Linked DNA regions of Drosophila melanogaster. The protein of the gene in region 1 interacts with the protein of each later gene in a pairwise test. Each region holds a gene or a part of one and is shown in the gene's direction. Other genes may lie near its edges.

Region 1 (4,467 bases):
TTTTTTTTTTTGAAGGTGTAAAACTACTTGCTTATACTATTTTATAGTAAAAAAACAACCGATTTTATACGAGGCTCGATGAAAACACGTCTTCACACGTCAGCGAACACTCAGAATAGTATTGTAAGTCAATAGAATTATTAAGAACAGCTATAATACTATAAAATTTCAAGCAATGGATGCTCTACTTTTTTTTTCGTACGGGTCCCACGGCCACACCTCCCACCCAACCGGCTCGATTCACGAGAAGATAGATGCGATATAAAAAAAAAACAGAAACGAGGCAATGAATATAATGCAAAACAACAGTACCACTTCAACCTCCGAAGAGATAAGTCGTGCCACCCAGTTTAAAGCCCGGCTTCGCGTAAGCCCAAAACCCTTATCAGCAAAATCTTGATAAACAAATATCAACCACAAAGAGAAAATAAAATAAAACCAACAACAATACCGCCAACCCGGGCTCAAGCTCTTAACCAACAATCATGACAGACCCACCAAACATTTACAAAATTACTTCAAAAACATACCATCGCAATTAGGTGAACCTAAATTTATAATTATCAAAAGGAAAGACAACAACTCTTTCGAAAGAATTTCACCATTCATCATAAAGAAATCGGTGGACTTTGCCTGTGGAGGAGAAGTCGAGGGATGCAAACGAACAAGAGACGGCAACCTAAGACCGTCTATAATATTTTAAATCGTGCGGAAAAAGAGGGCAGGCTTGAACCTAAGAGTGGTAATGGGCGGAAAACCAAAATTAACAAGCGAGTAGACTGCCTTAAAAGTGATTGCGAACCCCCGAATCTCGGTCAGATCACTTGCTCAGGATATCAGGGAAGAATATCACCTAACTGTGTCACACGAAACTGTGCACCACGTTATCCTACTACCATAGGTACTCTTCAAGAGTTGCAAGAAAAATGCCTTTGCTATCAGAGGTCAATATTGAAAAGCGTCATTCAGCATGATAGATCATGCGGAAGAGTACTGGGATGACGTCATATTTTGTGACGAAACAAATATGATGCTCTTTTATAACGACGGGCCAAGCAGAGTATGGCGCAAACCGTTGAGTGCGCTAGAAAAACAAAATATCATACCAACAATCAAATTTGGAAAATTGTCAGTGATTATTTGGGGCTGTATTTCCAGCCATGGAGTGGGCAAATTAGCCTTTATTGAAAGCACTATGAATGCCGTGCAATATCTAGATATTTTAGAAACAAATTTGAAGGCCAGTGCAGAAAAATGTGGTCTATTTAGCAACAACAAGCCAAATTTTAAGTTTTATCACGACAATGATCCCAAACATAAAGAGTACAATGTACGCAACTGGCTACTTTATAACTGTGGCAAGGTGATCGATACGCCCCCTCAGAGTCCTGATCTGAACCCCATTGAAAATTTGTGGACCTACTTAAAGAAGAAGGTGGCAAAAAGGTGCCCCAAAACACGGCAACATCTCATTGCTGCGATAGTCGAAGAGTGGGAAAAGATCCCGCTTGAATATGACCTAAAAAAACTCATCCATTCCATGAAAAAAAGGCTTCAACTTGTAGCCAAAGCCAATGGGGGTCATACTAAATACTAAAAATTTTCAAATATTAACAAAATAATTAAAAAATTTATGATTAAACTTAGGTTTAGTGTTTTGTGTAAATAGTTTCTTTACACTCTCAAAAGTGTGTAAACTTGAAATTTGTTGTTTATTTTCTTGTATATTTGATATTTTGAATTTGTTTTTTAATTTATAAGTAAAATAAATATTGTTTAATTATATTTCATAAAAAAATTGCGTTTAATTAAACAAATAACCCTTAATTTTGACCTTTAAAGTTAAAAATTCAACTTATTTCACGGTGTGTAAACAGTTTCTTGACAAACAGTATATATATAGTATAGTATAGTATATATATATATAAAGTTTAGTAAAATAATCGAACATATCGATTGTAATGACACTAACATAAAAAACATTAAACATTACCCGACCAAAAATTCAAATAATTTGTAATTTTATTAAACTTTATCCATTATTCATTTATCAACTTATGCGCTTTTCATGCAGAATTTGAATTCGCGTGCATAAGTGCACATAGATTGGAGTCTCGACATCAGGAACGATATTTAGTTACTATTCAGTTTCATCGGTTATCGGTTCAACACAACCGCTAACCATGGTTTTGCTATGTATTCTGTGAATTGCTTAAATGCATTTAGGAAGGGGAATACAAAAATATATTGTGCACAATTCAAATTTTTTTTAGTATTATTATTATAATTATTATTATTATAATTATAATCATTATAAGTTTAAAATCATTATACTATGTGGCCAGAGAGATTGCACGATTTTCCCAGCCGTTTAATAAGGATGTCATTTGTGGAATTAGGCTATAAGCATCGTAGTGGATGTATGACCAATGCAATTTTTGGACATTTGAAAAAATTAAGCATAACAAACAAAAATATTGGCCGCTGCTACAGGACGAGTGTATTTCAATTGAAATGGTGAAAGAAGGTAATTTATATCAATCACCAAACGTTACATCTTAAAAAGTAACATTTTTTATTCATAGGTTCTAAGGATGCAGAGTACTTATCTGCTGAGTCTATTTCAAATTCGTTGAGACCTAAAGAACTTCATTACACTACAGATGCGCTTGCATCTAATTCAAATATTCATGAACATCCTCTTAGACGCACGAGAAATATTAGCACAAAAAAATTGGCACATGATGACAGTTTGCCTCACACGGGTGCTAAAAAAGGTAAAAGACGACGCAACAGTGATACGTCCAGTGAAGAGGATCGGTGGCTTACCGCCATAGAAACCGGGAAACTAGACGTTGTTGATGAGGAACTTAAAAAGATAAAGGACCCCAAACTTATGACAGCACGTCAACGTGCTATTTATGAACGGACACAGGACTCCGAAATAAATGGATTTATAGAAGAGCTAATTGCTCTTCCAAGTGGTTATAAAGAAAAGGAAAAGCCGCAGACTGCGGAGGAAATTCATAAAGCTCTTCTGAAATCTCAAAAACGAAAACAACAAGCTGACGAACGCAGAGAAAAAGATAAATTAAAGACAATGGAGCGGTTGTTAAAAAAACAGGCAACCAACAGGGATCGGATTTCAATTCGCAATAAGTCTTTACAACAGCCCTCTTATCCAAAAATAACCTATATAAGTGCTGTAACTGGCAACTATGTAATAGTTCCCCCAGGTTACGAATATCCTTTAAAAGTTCAACTCCCTCGTACACCTCCTCCTTCACAGGTGTGCTTTGTAAGCGGTTGTGAAAATCGCAAGACATATAATTGTTCAACAACAAATGTTCCATTATGTAGTCTTACATGTTATCGTAAGAATATCAACAAAATAAGAAAAACGTCTACAAATACGTAGATTTAATTTTAATATTGATTGACAAAAAAATTGTTTATTATTTCATGTTGCTCCGTTTCAATTCGCTGTAAAAACTGCAATTCGCCTTTTAAGCGTTCAAGTTCTACTGTTTGCTCAAATATCTCATATTGATAGACTTGCTGCTTGTTCTGGCGCTGAATAAATGCCGTTTTTAATTGATTTTGAGTACCAATAGCGCGTAGTTTTTCCTTATCGACATCTTTGGCAAACGTTTCAGAAATATTACAATAATTAAACACAAACTTTTTAAAAATAGTGAATGCTTTAATGTAGTTGAAGCATTCTTGTTTAAACATTATTTTGCTACTGGAAAGGTTTGGATGCTCAACTCGCACCGTGTAAATTTCATCTATAAACACACCAACTTTTTGAAGTTCTTCCATCTTATTGCGATTGTAACAAAGTAATACTTTCTTACTATGCGTTGCGTTGCTATTGACAACTGAACGAGTCGTAAACAAATAAGAGCTACGCGTTTGTATATAAATGCATTGAGGCTTTAGTATTTTTCTTTTGGAAATTATATTAGCTTTCAGTATTTGAATTATTTGAAATGCAAATAATAACCCTTTTTTAATAACCCGTTACTCGTAGAGTATAAGGGCATACTAGATTCGTTAAAAAGTAACAGGCAGTGGGGGGGAGCGTTTCTGACCATATAAAGTATTTATATTCTTGATCAGGATCAATAGCCGAGTCGATCTGGCCATGTCCGTCTGTCCGTATGAACGTCAAGATTCAGGAACTATAAAATTATATTTTACATTAATTTTTTTATAATTATTAATTAATTAATTTTTTACATTATTATTAGTCTTGTAAATTTCTATCGTTTTGCAAAAATAAATTGGTTGCCACGTCCACTCTAACGCCCTAAAAGCGCCTAAAGCTGCCACTCCCACTTTTTTTTAAAAATTTTGGATATTTTGTCATAATTTTATTAGTCTTGTAATTTATATATATTTGCCAAAAAACTTTTTTAAAAGGCCCACTCTAATGCCCTAAAACATCCCAAAACCGCCAAGCCC
Region 2 (4,733 bases), on another chromosome or scaffold:
TATTCTTCAACTGCTTGCACTCATTAAGAATATCCTGGGTGTGCAGTTCGCTTTTGTGAACAAGGCAGAGAAGCATGTAGTCAAAGGCTGGGGCATATAGCTGTAGGTAGGAGCTGGCGGTGACGATTTCCGGATGCAGATTAAAGCGGGCCACGAAGCGAAAGATCTTTAAAAGTATTAAATTTGTAGTAAAAGTGATTAAACGTTTAATATTTCTCGGTCTCACCTGAGGATATATGAGGAACAGGTCGGCAAAGTTCTCTCTTATGTATGTCTTACTCGACGTTAGGGTAACGCCCATGCGCACCAAGTAGCAGCGGGCATAGCTCGATACCAAAGGATCAGCTATACCCCTCAGTTGATGGGTCAAACGTTGCAAAATGCGCTCATACTCCTCGCGCGATGATGACAGGAACTCGTAGCACTTGAATATTGACAGCTCCAAGTAAAAACGCGGCAGTAACTCACGAATCGAGGCGATCTTATAAAACCAATTCTGGCACGTATCCCGGGCAGCTTCCCGTTCCCGCTCTAATGTGGCCGCCGATGCGGCAGGATCTCCAGAGGCCTTAGCACGCAGTCGTTCGTATACCAATTTTCCAAAAACATCCAGTATATCAGTGATAAGAACGTACTGACTCGGATAGAATTGCAGCACAGTGGTGTCCGCTAGCATTTTGGCACACTGTATGGCTATCTTCAACGCTTTTACTCGCTGATCGTTGTGCCAGGACTGGATCAGCTCCTGCTTGAGTTGCTCAAACCGCTGAATGTACTCCTGCTGAGTAAGATCCATCATGTGACGCATGCTGCCATCGTCGAAGTGGTCTAACTGCTCCAAGCGAAACTTTGTCTTGTCGGCCACCACCGTTTGTGCTTTAACTATGATTGTTGTTAATATATATCACAGATCAACCGACCACTGAACTTACTGCTTTCGTTGCCGCCATCCAGGCTACCAGATGACACCAGAAAGCTGGTAGACAGCGATAGCTTCTCATTGGTTGTAAAGCGGTTGAGGATGCCTAGTCGTCGGCTGCTCCACTGCAGTGTGTTGTCCTCGGGCTCCGTTCGGTCCCGTTCACGACGCTTCGACTTGAGATCCTGAACATCCAAGTGCGAAAAACTTAGTCATGTTCCTTGCCGGTGCACCACTCTACTTACGAATTCGCTGACCATTTGACTGAGCGGATCGTTGAGCTCATCATCTTGGCGTGCAAACTGCGAGAGCGGATCTGTGCCCTCTAGAGCTCGGCTCAAGGGATTGCTGTCCACCACCTGGTGGAGATTGTTCTTTCATTAAAATCACTTACAGATAAGGGCGTTGTACCATTTACCCACCGTCACCGTCCGCTGCTTTAGGGGATGCTCCAGCGTGGCCTGCCCAGTCAGGCAATTCTTCCGGACCTCGTAGCATCGCGGCACGCACACCCTGCAGTCAGGAGAAATGGTTATCAATGCTTATTTGTTTATTTTCGGGGGAAAATAAATAAATTACCATTCCAAGTTCGCCATAGCGTCGTGGTTGTTGTTGTCGGCATTCCTGACAGCTGCTTGCCAACATGACATGGACGTAGCCGGTCAGGGATGAAATACACCAAAGAAACTGTACTAATTCCAGGGACTTTAGCTTAGAACCTGTTCTACTGTATATATTTCGTTTCGCTTGCAGCTCTATAGAAATTAATTTATAAAAAAGATTTAATTTAAAGATTTAAATAAAAGATTTTATTTATAATTTTATAAATTTAAAATTATAAAACAAATTAATTCAAATTTATATGTGATATTATTGGAGTATAATAAATATGCAAATCCGTTAAATATCAAAGCAATATATAATACTAACGTTAACAAAGTAATTCATTTTCGAGGATATATATATATTTTGGCATCATATGAACCCCTTTGCCTACGCCACTGAAAATATGTTTATTTCGGGGCGAATGGCAAATATTAACACGAAACACCGGGTGAATGGCAAATGCAGTTGACAAGCGACGCGTTTATTTTTTGTGTTCACAAATATCTTAAAAACGATTTCATTTCGGATTGCGAATGAAAAATGTCGAAATCGGCGCTGAAACACCTAAAGAGCACCTGCCGCGTATGCGCAAAGTATGCAAGCAACAAGCGGTCGCCGAAGTTATTCGAGCGGAGCAACACAAAGATGATCGACAACATTGAGGCGCTCACAGGCCTTCGGGTAAATTTTTCACTGCGGCTTTATGGAATTTATGTAGTTATAGCTTAATTTATTGGTGTTTAATCTAGCTGGAGAACTACGGTTGCCTGCCGGATCAGATATGTGAATGCTGCAGCATGGAACTGGCCTCCGCCGTTAAGCTGAGGGAGCGCTGCATCGCCGCCCAGCGTGAGCTACTCTTGGGATTGACCGAGGAGCAACGCCAAGGCATCTCGGCCTTCTACCGGGCGGCTGTCATGGGCGAGGATATTGTCCAGACGGTGAAGACGCCCGACGATGATGAGGTCTATGCCACTTATCAGGAAATCGTATTGGAAGAACCTAAGGAAGAGATCGACGACACCAAGGTAGAGTACGATAATACCTACTACGAGGTGGCCGAGGGACACGCCGGCGAGGACGACGCAGCCTCCTTGATTGAAGAGGCCGACTATGATTCCATAATGGCCGAAGACGAAGAGCAGCAGCAAACGTTGGAGCTGGACGAAGACACCGAGCTAATTGTGGGCGACGTCAACGACGCGTACGTCTACGATTCGGATGATGAGGTGGCCGTTCTTGACAACGTGCTGGATGATGAGTACGAGCATGAAAACATTGTCGTCAAGAAGTGTAGTCTGCCGCCAAAGCCAAAGGTCCGGTCGGATGATGCGCGTCGTCGTGGCACCGGCGGAGTATACATCTGCGAGCAGTGCGGCAATCACATCAAGGGACGCATGGCCTTTGAACTTCACTGTCGTCGCCATCGTGGGGACAAGCAATTTGGCTGCGAGTGAGTACATTTCTACTCCTTTTTGGATACAGTATGACTAAATGGATTTATTTTCAGACTCTGTCAGTCGCGCTTCTGCACAACTTCCGAGCTGAAACGCCACATGCGCAAGCACACCGGAGAGCGACCGTTTGCATGTAAGTACTGTGGCCGCTGCTTCACAGACTACACCACGCGCGTGAAGCATGAGCGTACCCACACCAATGAGCGCCCCTACGTCTGTGGTACTTGCGGCAAGGCCTTCACTACCGGCTACATCCTTAAGAACCATATGCTGATACATTCCGGCGAGCGGGCCTACAGGTACGTTGAGTCATACAGCTACACAGTACCGGGAAACCCAATAACTAGGTTTCTTAGAAATTCTAAGATCATATTATGCGGCATTACAAGAGTTTTCCAAAACCTTATGAGAGTTAAGATAACTAAATATTACTTATGTTGCCAAATTTCGTGAGTAATATTTAGTTATCTTATAATAATTTCTTATAATAATATGAAACTAGTGATACTGGTACAGTTACTGAAATGTTTGAAATGCCATCTAATACTGAATCTTCCCCTCAAGGTGCGAGCTGTGCGACAAGTCCTTTATGCTGCCCACCCACCTGAGCACCCACTTCCGGTCTGGCGTACACAAGCGGCATCTGGAGAAAGCCGAGATGAAACAGGTCCTGGAGCAGGAGCAGAAACGTGAACTCAAGGAGGAGGAGGAGGACAGCCTGCACATCTAAAGCTGTCCTTATAATATATACATAGCAATTACAGGCAATGCTAGACCGACAATGGCGCACAGCCAAGGAGCATTTCTGCAAATAATTAACAAACCAATTGTAATATGTAGAACTTAATATTGAATAATAAATCAAAACTTCAAATCCCAACTTATGAGCATTTATTTCATCTGTAAAAATTGCTTCCATGCGAATGGCAAACGGAACAGCTGATTGACAAGCATAGCATTGTTTACAAAAAGTTTGGCGTTTCAAACTTTTTTATCGGCTCAAAAATGGAAGGAAAAGTGTGTCGCACTTGCGGCAAGCGCACGAATGCTGAAAGATCATTGAATATTTTTGAAAAGCGCAATCAAACTACGCTGGAACACATCAAACTACTAACTGGAGCTGTGGTGAGAGGATAATAATGCGTAGTGTCTTTAACTTTCTAAAGTTTTTTCTCTTTACAGTTAAAGAACTGTAGTACGTTGCCAAATCGACTATGTGCGTCCTGCCAAACTTGTTTGCAACAAGCCATATCCTTTAGGGAACGCTGTTTGGAAGTCCAAAGGGAGTTGCTCCATTCCCAAGATGATGAAGACTTCCTTAGAATCTGCCAGGAATCTCCCAAAAGTGTCCTTGAGCAGGAGGAGTTGGAACTGGATCTGGCAGAAATAAGCATAGAAGTCGAGCGATTAGACGATCTCAATGAAGGGCCCATTCAAAGCTCCGGTTTTAAAGTGGAGGACATTCTAAATGAATCTAAAATCAACGAAGACGAGCCCAATAATGAGGACGATATTGATTATAGTGAAATGGATTACCTTATTTACGAAAGCGATACTGAAGTAGATGCAAAGCAGGAACTCAAATCAGACTCTGAGAATCCCAAAAAAAGGAGAAATCGTCGAAATCCCCGCGACTCCAATAGGACCTTCTTTTGTGAGGAGTGCGGAAATCACATAAAAGATCGAATATCATTCATACTGCATTGTAAGCGACATCGCGGCGTCAAGGAGTTTGGGTGCGAGTAAGTGGC
Region 3 (3,875 bases), on another chromosome or scaffold:
CGCGTTGCACGTAGAATTTGCACAGACAGAGCCTCGGATACGGATACTCAGATACTCGGATACACACACATATACGCAGACACTCGAACACAGATACACAGTTGCGGATACGCAATGCACACATCCTGCCGGCACTGCACATTGTTGCGATTGATGCACATAAGAAATGCAATCGGGGCAACTGCAATTTCGTAAATCGAAGGAAAAATTTCCTAGCCGCATCAACATCGCATTTCGTCTCCGACAGAGAGGCAATCAAACATGGCAGGAAAACTGCAGCTGAAAAACAGTTGTTGACTGTTTGCCGGCATCGCCTATATCTCCATCATCATGATGTTGATGATCATCATCATCTTCACCTCGCAACAGGACACAACATCGCAACGTCATCATCGCGTGGAGGAACAAGTGAAGGAGGACATATCCTCGTCATCGTCACTTTTATGCTGCTGTTTTGTCGCATCCACTGTGCTTATAAGCATCCGCTCGTCACATGCGTGCAAGCGTATCGGGGATCTACACAGCGAGAAAACGGATTTAGCTTATAATTTTTAGTAATATACATTTTGAATAATATATACCTAATTAGTCATTCCATCAGATAAACGGAAACTGATAATATTGTCTCTCCCCTTAAAATATATTAATATTAATATAAAAATATTAAAGGCATCGTGCTTTAATATTTTTACGCATTTTTTCTCGCGGTGTCTGGGCTCGTATCTGAACGTACTCCGGCAAAGGCTTGTTTATTTGCTGGCAAAATTGTGAAATAATGTGCTGCAATCAATTCCCAATACAGCGCTCCGTGACCTCTAGCCCCTCTTCACATGCGGCACTCCCTCACTTTTCCCTTTGGAAAAGCGGGAGAAAGCGGGAAAAACGGTGTGCAGTGAAGTTATTTGAAGTGGCAGCTGCCACAGAGCGAACTGCAACTGCCACAACTGCATTGGTTGCCCCACGCCTCTTATCATCACTTGATTTACCGCCCCCACTTCCCCCATTTTCCACGTTTTCGTCCGTATCGGAGGTAACATGTTTGTGATGAATATGTTTACATCAATAACAAAAACTCCACTATGGCGCATCAATAATGAAGCCTTGCTCTGACTCCGCTTTACAAAACCCCCTATCATTCCATCCAACGGGCGGCAAAACCCCATTTTGAACACGTCAAAATGAGTTTACTTTGTGGTTTCGATGGCTGCGATTGGAAACTGCTCCCGCGGATTATGAAGTATCTCGATTGGAGTACCGAATACATTCATCCACACACAAACACATCGAGTTCTTGACATCCTCAACACAAAAACAACAGTAGCAATGGCAACAGGGATTACTTCGAGATTGCAGCAGGAAAACCACTTGATATTTTGAAAGTGAATCCGTCCACAGTCTGATCGGAGATTTGGTATTATCCGAGATTAGGGGTTGGGTATTTGCTCGATACGGAGACAAGGACTTAATTTATAATTAATAAACATGTTTGGCTTAATTTACCAGAGAATAATGATGGAGTAACAATGAATTTGAAACTCCACTAAGCAGCATTTAAACAACATACGTAAACATACAAATTTAATATGTATGGTAACAATAAATAAAGTAATTTTAAAATCGAATATAAGAAGATAATATGTGACTTGAAGCAGGCATACCTTCTACTACATAATTAGATCCCAATTTAAAATGTTAAACAGAGTAATTTGAGTGCAGAGTTCATAGAGAGATTTATGATAATAAATTAAAAATAAAATAAAAAATTGTACGCGAATGTAATGAAGTTATACAATAATCTTCCAAGAAAAGGAGCCCACGATTTTTATATATTTTTTGACGATGACAATGTATTTTATCAGTTAAATATTATAAGCCATATAGGGCACACACAAGTTTACACTAATACATTTTAGTTCGGTAATTAGTTCCTTTCAAAGGCCAAAACTACACATAGCTACAAACAAGAATGGATGGGGACCAAGTAAAGGGCATCCTGAAGTCGGGAAACAATAGTGCGCAATTTAGCCTGAAGGCAGCCAAATTTGATGAGGTCAACATACTGGCCACGTTCCACCCGGCTGGTAAGGACTACGGCCACATGATCATCGACGAACCAAAGACACCCTTCGTCTTTGAGGAGGATTTGCCAAAGGAGTTGGATACAAATGCCCTGATCGAAAAGTTGAGACACACATCAAAGTCAGAAATGCCGGCATTTGGCATCGAAGGAGACTCAGAAGAATCCTCGGCGGATGAGGACTTTCCCGAGTCTGTAGAGGAAAAAGTGCGTAGAATGGAGTTTGAGAGGCGGCGAAAAGTGCATTACAAGGAGTTCTATTCGGTTCCACTGGCTCGACGTCTTATAGCCGACGAGTTTGCCGAGTTGACCAGTTCAGAGTTTAATATTCACTGCGAAGGGGGAATGGAATCTTGTGAAGCGTGCAGTGAAAACAATCAACTCGACGGCGAAGCAAGCAACTTGACGCAAACAAAATACTCATATTCTGAAAGTCAATCCGAATACAGGATATCAGATCATTCTGAGCCTGAACCAGGTTTCTCCCCCAGCCATCACTGCTACCAAAAACTGAAGGCCGAGCTCTTTAGCAAAGCAGAGCCGGAAGAATTGGCCTCTTTAACGCACTTGCATCGAATGCCATCGGTCAACGATGATGAACCAAGTCGCGAGCCTCGCGTCCCATACCCTTCGGTTGTTCCGACTCAAACCCAAAATCTACATGAACACAAGAGTTCACTGAAAATAACGTCCGAGAAGCCTACTCCTGCTCGTATATGTAAATCCAACCCTGATAATCGTCCTGGCACTTCTAAGAAAGAGACCCGCTGAAATCATTCAGTAGTGTTAAAAATTGCAAAGTTATATTAAAGAAACTTGTAATTATAACAAACCATTGGGGATTAAAACTTGTGTATGCATTTGACAGAAAGTATCTATTACACTACATCTATCTACACTCTTTTGTAGAAGAAGCTTTTAACAAATGTTGCCTAATGGTTTTTACTCAAGGATAAATATCTTTAATTACTCAATCACAAAAATTGTGTCCAATAACTTTCGGTCATTCCACTCCTGTTCGTGCCTCGTCTAAGTTGCTAAGGAAATTATAGGAAAATTCTAAGTACCACTGGCCAGGCTAATTGCTGAGATGTTGATATGATTAACCCACTAACCTTCATTTGCTCCCCATCTATTAATACTTTGCTTCCGAAAGTTCACTGGTCTGGGGAATATTTAATTACGCAATGTCCTAACGGTAATCATCATTCGGCCGAAGCTAGATACAAGGATACACAGCCAGAGTTTAACTTATTTTGGCATTTTGTTTTGTGATTGAAAATTCCTTTTGACAGTCTAGGCAACCGAAGAGTTTTCCTTCCGGCCAATCGCTTTCATTCTGATTTCATGCTCTGGCCATTCCAATTGTGAAGAAAACTGATTTCTGCCCTTTAAGATAATTCCTCGGATATTACAACTGCAGAATCACTTGAAATAATTATGCAAAATGTTTAATTTAGCCATTAAATGCCGTAGCAGTTCAGTTTTATTATTATTAAGCTTCGGTCAATTCGCTTGCAAATGAAAGGACAACACAAAACCGGATGGTGGTTGGGGGAAGTGTCATGAATATTTATGGGGCCATGTTATCATTGAATAGATTTCAATTAGATTTATTTGCAAATACTTTCGGAGAAGAAAATGAGTAAAGGCAAATACGTTAAGTAACGTTGATCTTGTAAATAAAACTTAAACGTTAAGGTCAAGCATTTTATTTAGAGATGTTTGGTCTTAGCACAGATTAGGCATTTCTCTGTCAATATGTAAACTATGGCTGTACAATTGTATTGTACCATTT

What was found. Proteins that work in one complex are often made in the same cells at the same time.
Region 2: the proteins of CG10395 (region 1) and M1BP interact in a two-hybrid assay, tested with the Drosophila melanogaster proteins (one large-scale study listed by BioGRID).
Region 3: the proteins of CG10395 (region 1) and CG6380 interact in a two-hybrid assay, tested with the Drosophila melanogaster proteins (one large-scale study listed by BioGRID).

What each region holds. Positions count from the first base shown.
Region 1 is NT_033778.4:5,348,295-5,352,761, forward strand, and holds CG10395 (uncharacterized protein), read left to right. Parts: upstream 1-2,182; 5' UTR 2,183-2,514; coding exon 2,515-2,527; intron 2,528-2,585; coding exon 2,586-3,418; 3' UTR 3,419-3,426; downstream 3,427-4,467. Other genes in the region: IFT20 (intraflagellar transport 20), read right to left, coding at 3,427-3,822.
Region 2 is NT_033777.3:8,728,915-8,733,647, reverse strand, and holds M1BP (motif 1 binding protein), read left to right. Parts: upstream 1-1,949; 5' UTR 1,950-2,065; coding exon 2,066-2,206; intron 2,207-2,274; coding exon 2,275-2,978; intron 2,979-3,035; coding exon 3,036-3,281; intron 3,282-3,546; coding exon 3,547-3,712; 3' UTR 3,713-3,858; downstream 3,859-4,733. Other genes in the region: CG8202 (uncharacterized protein), read right to left, coding at 1-166, 227-882, 933-1,104, 1,165-1,278, 1,342-1,432, 1,499-1,515; ranshi, read left to right, coding at 3,988-4,107, 4,165-4,724.
Region 3 is NT_033779.5:17,290,200-17,294,074, reverse strand, and holds CG6380 (uncharacterized protein), read left to right. Parts: upstream 1-1,872; 5' UTR 1,873-1,966; coding exon 1,967-2,848; 3' UTR 2,849-3,000; downstream 3,001-3,875.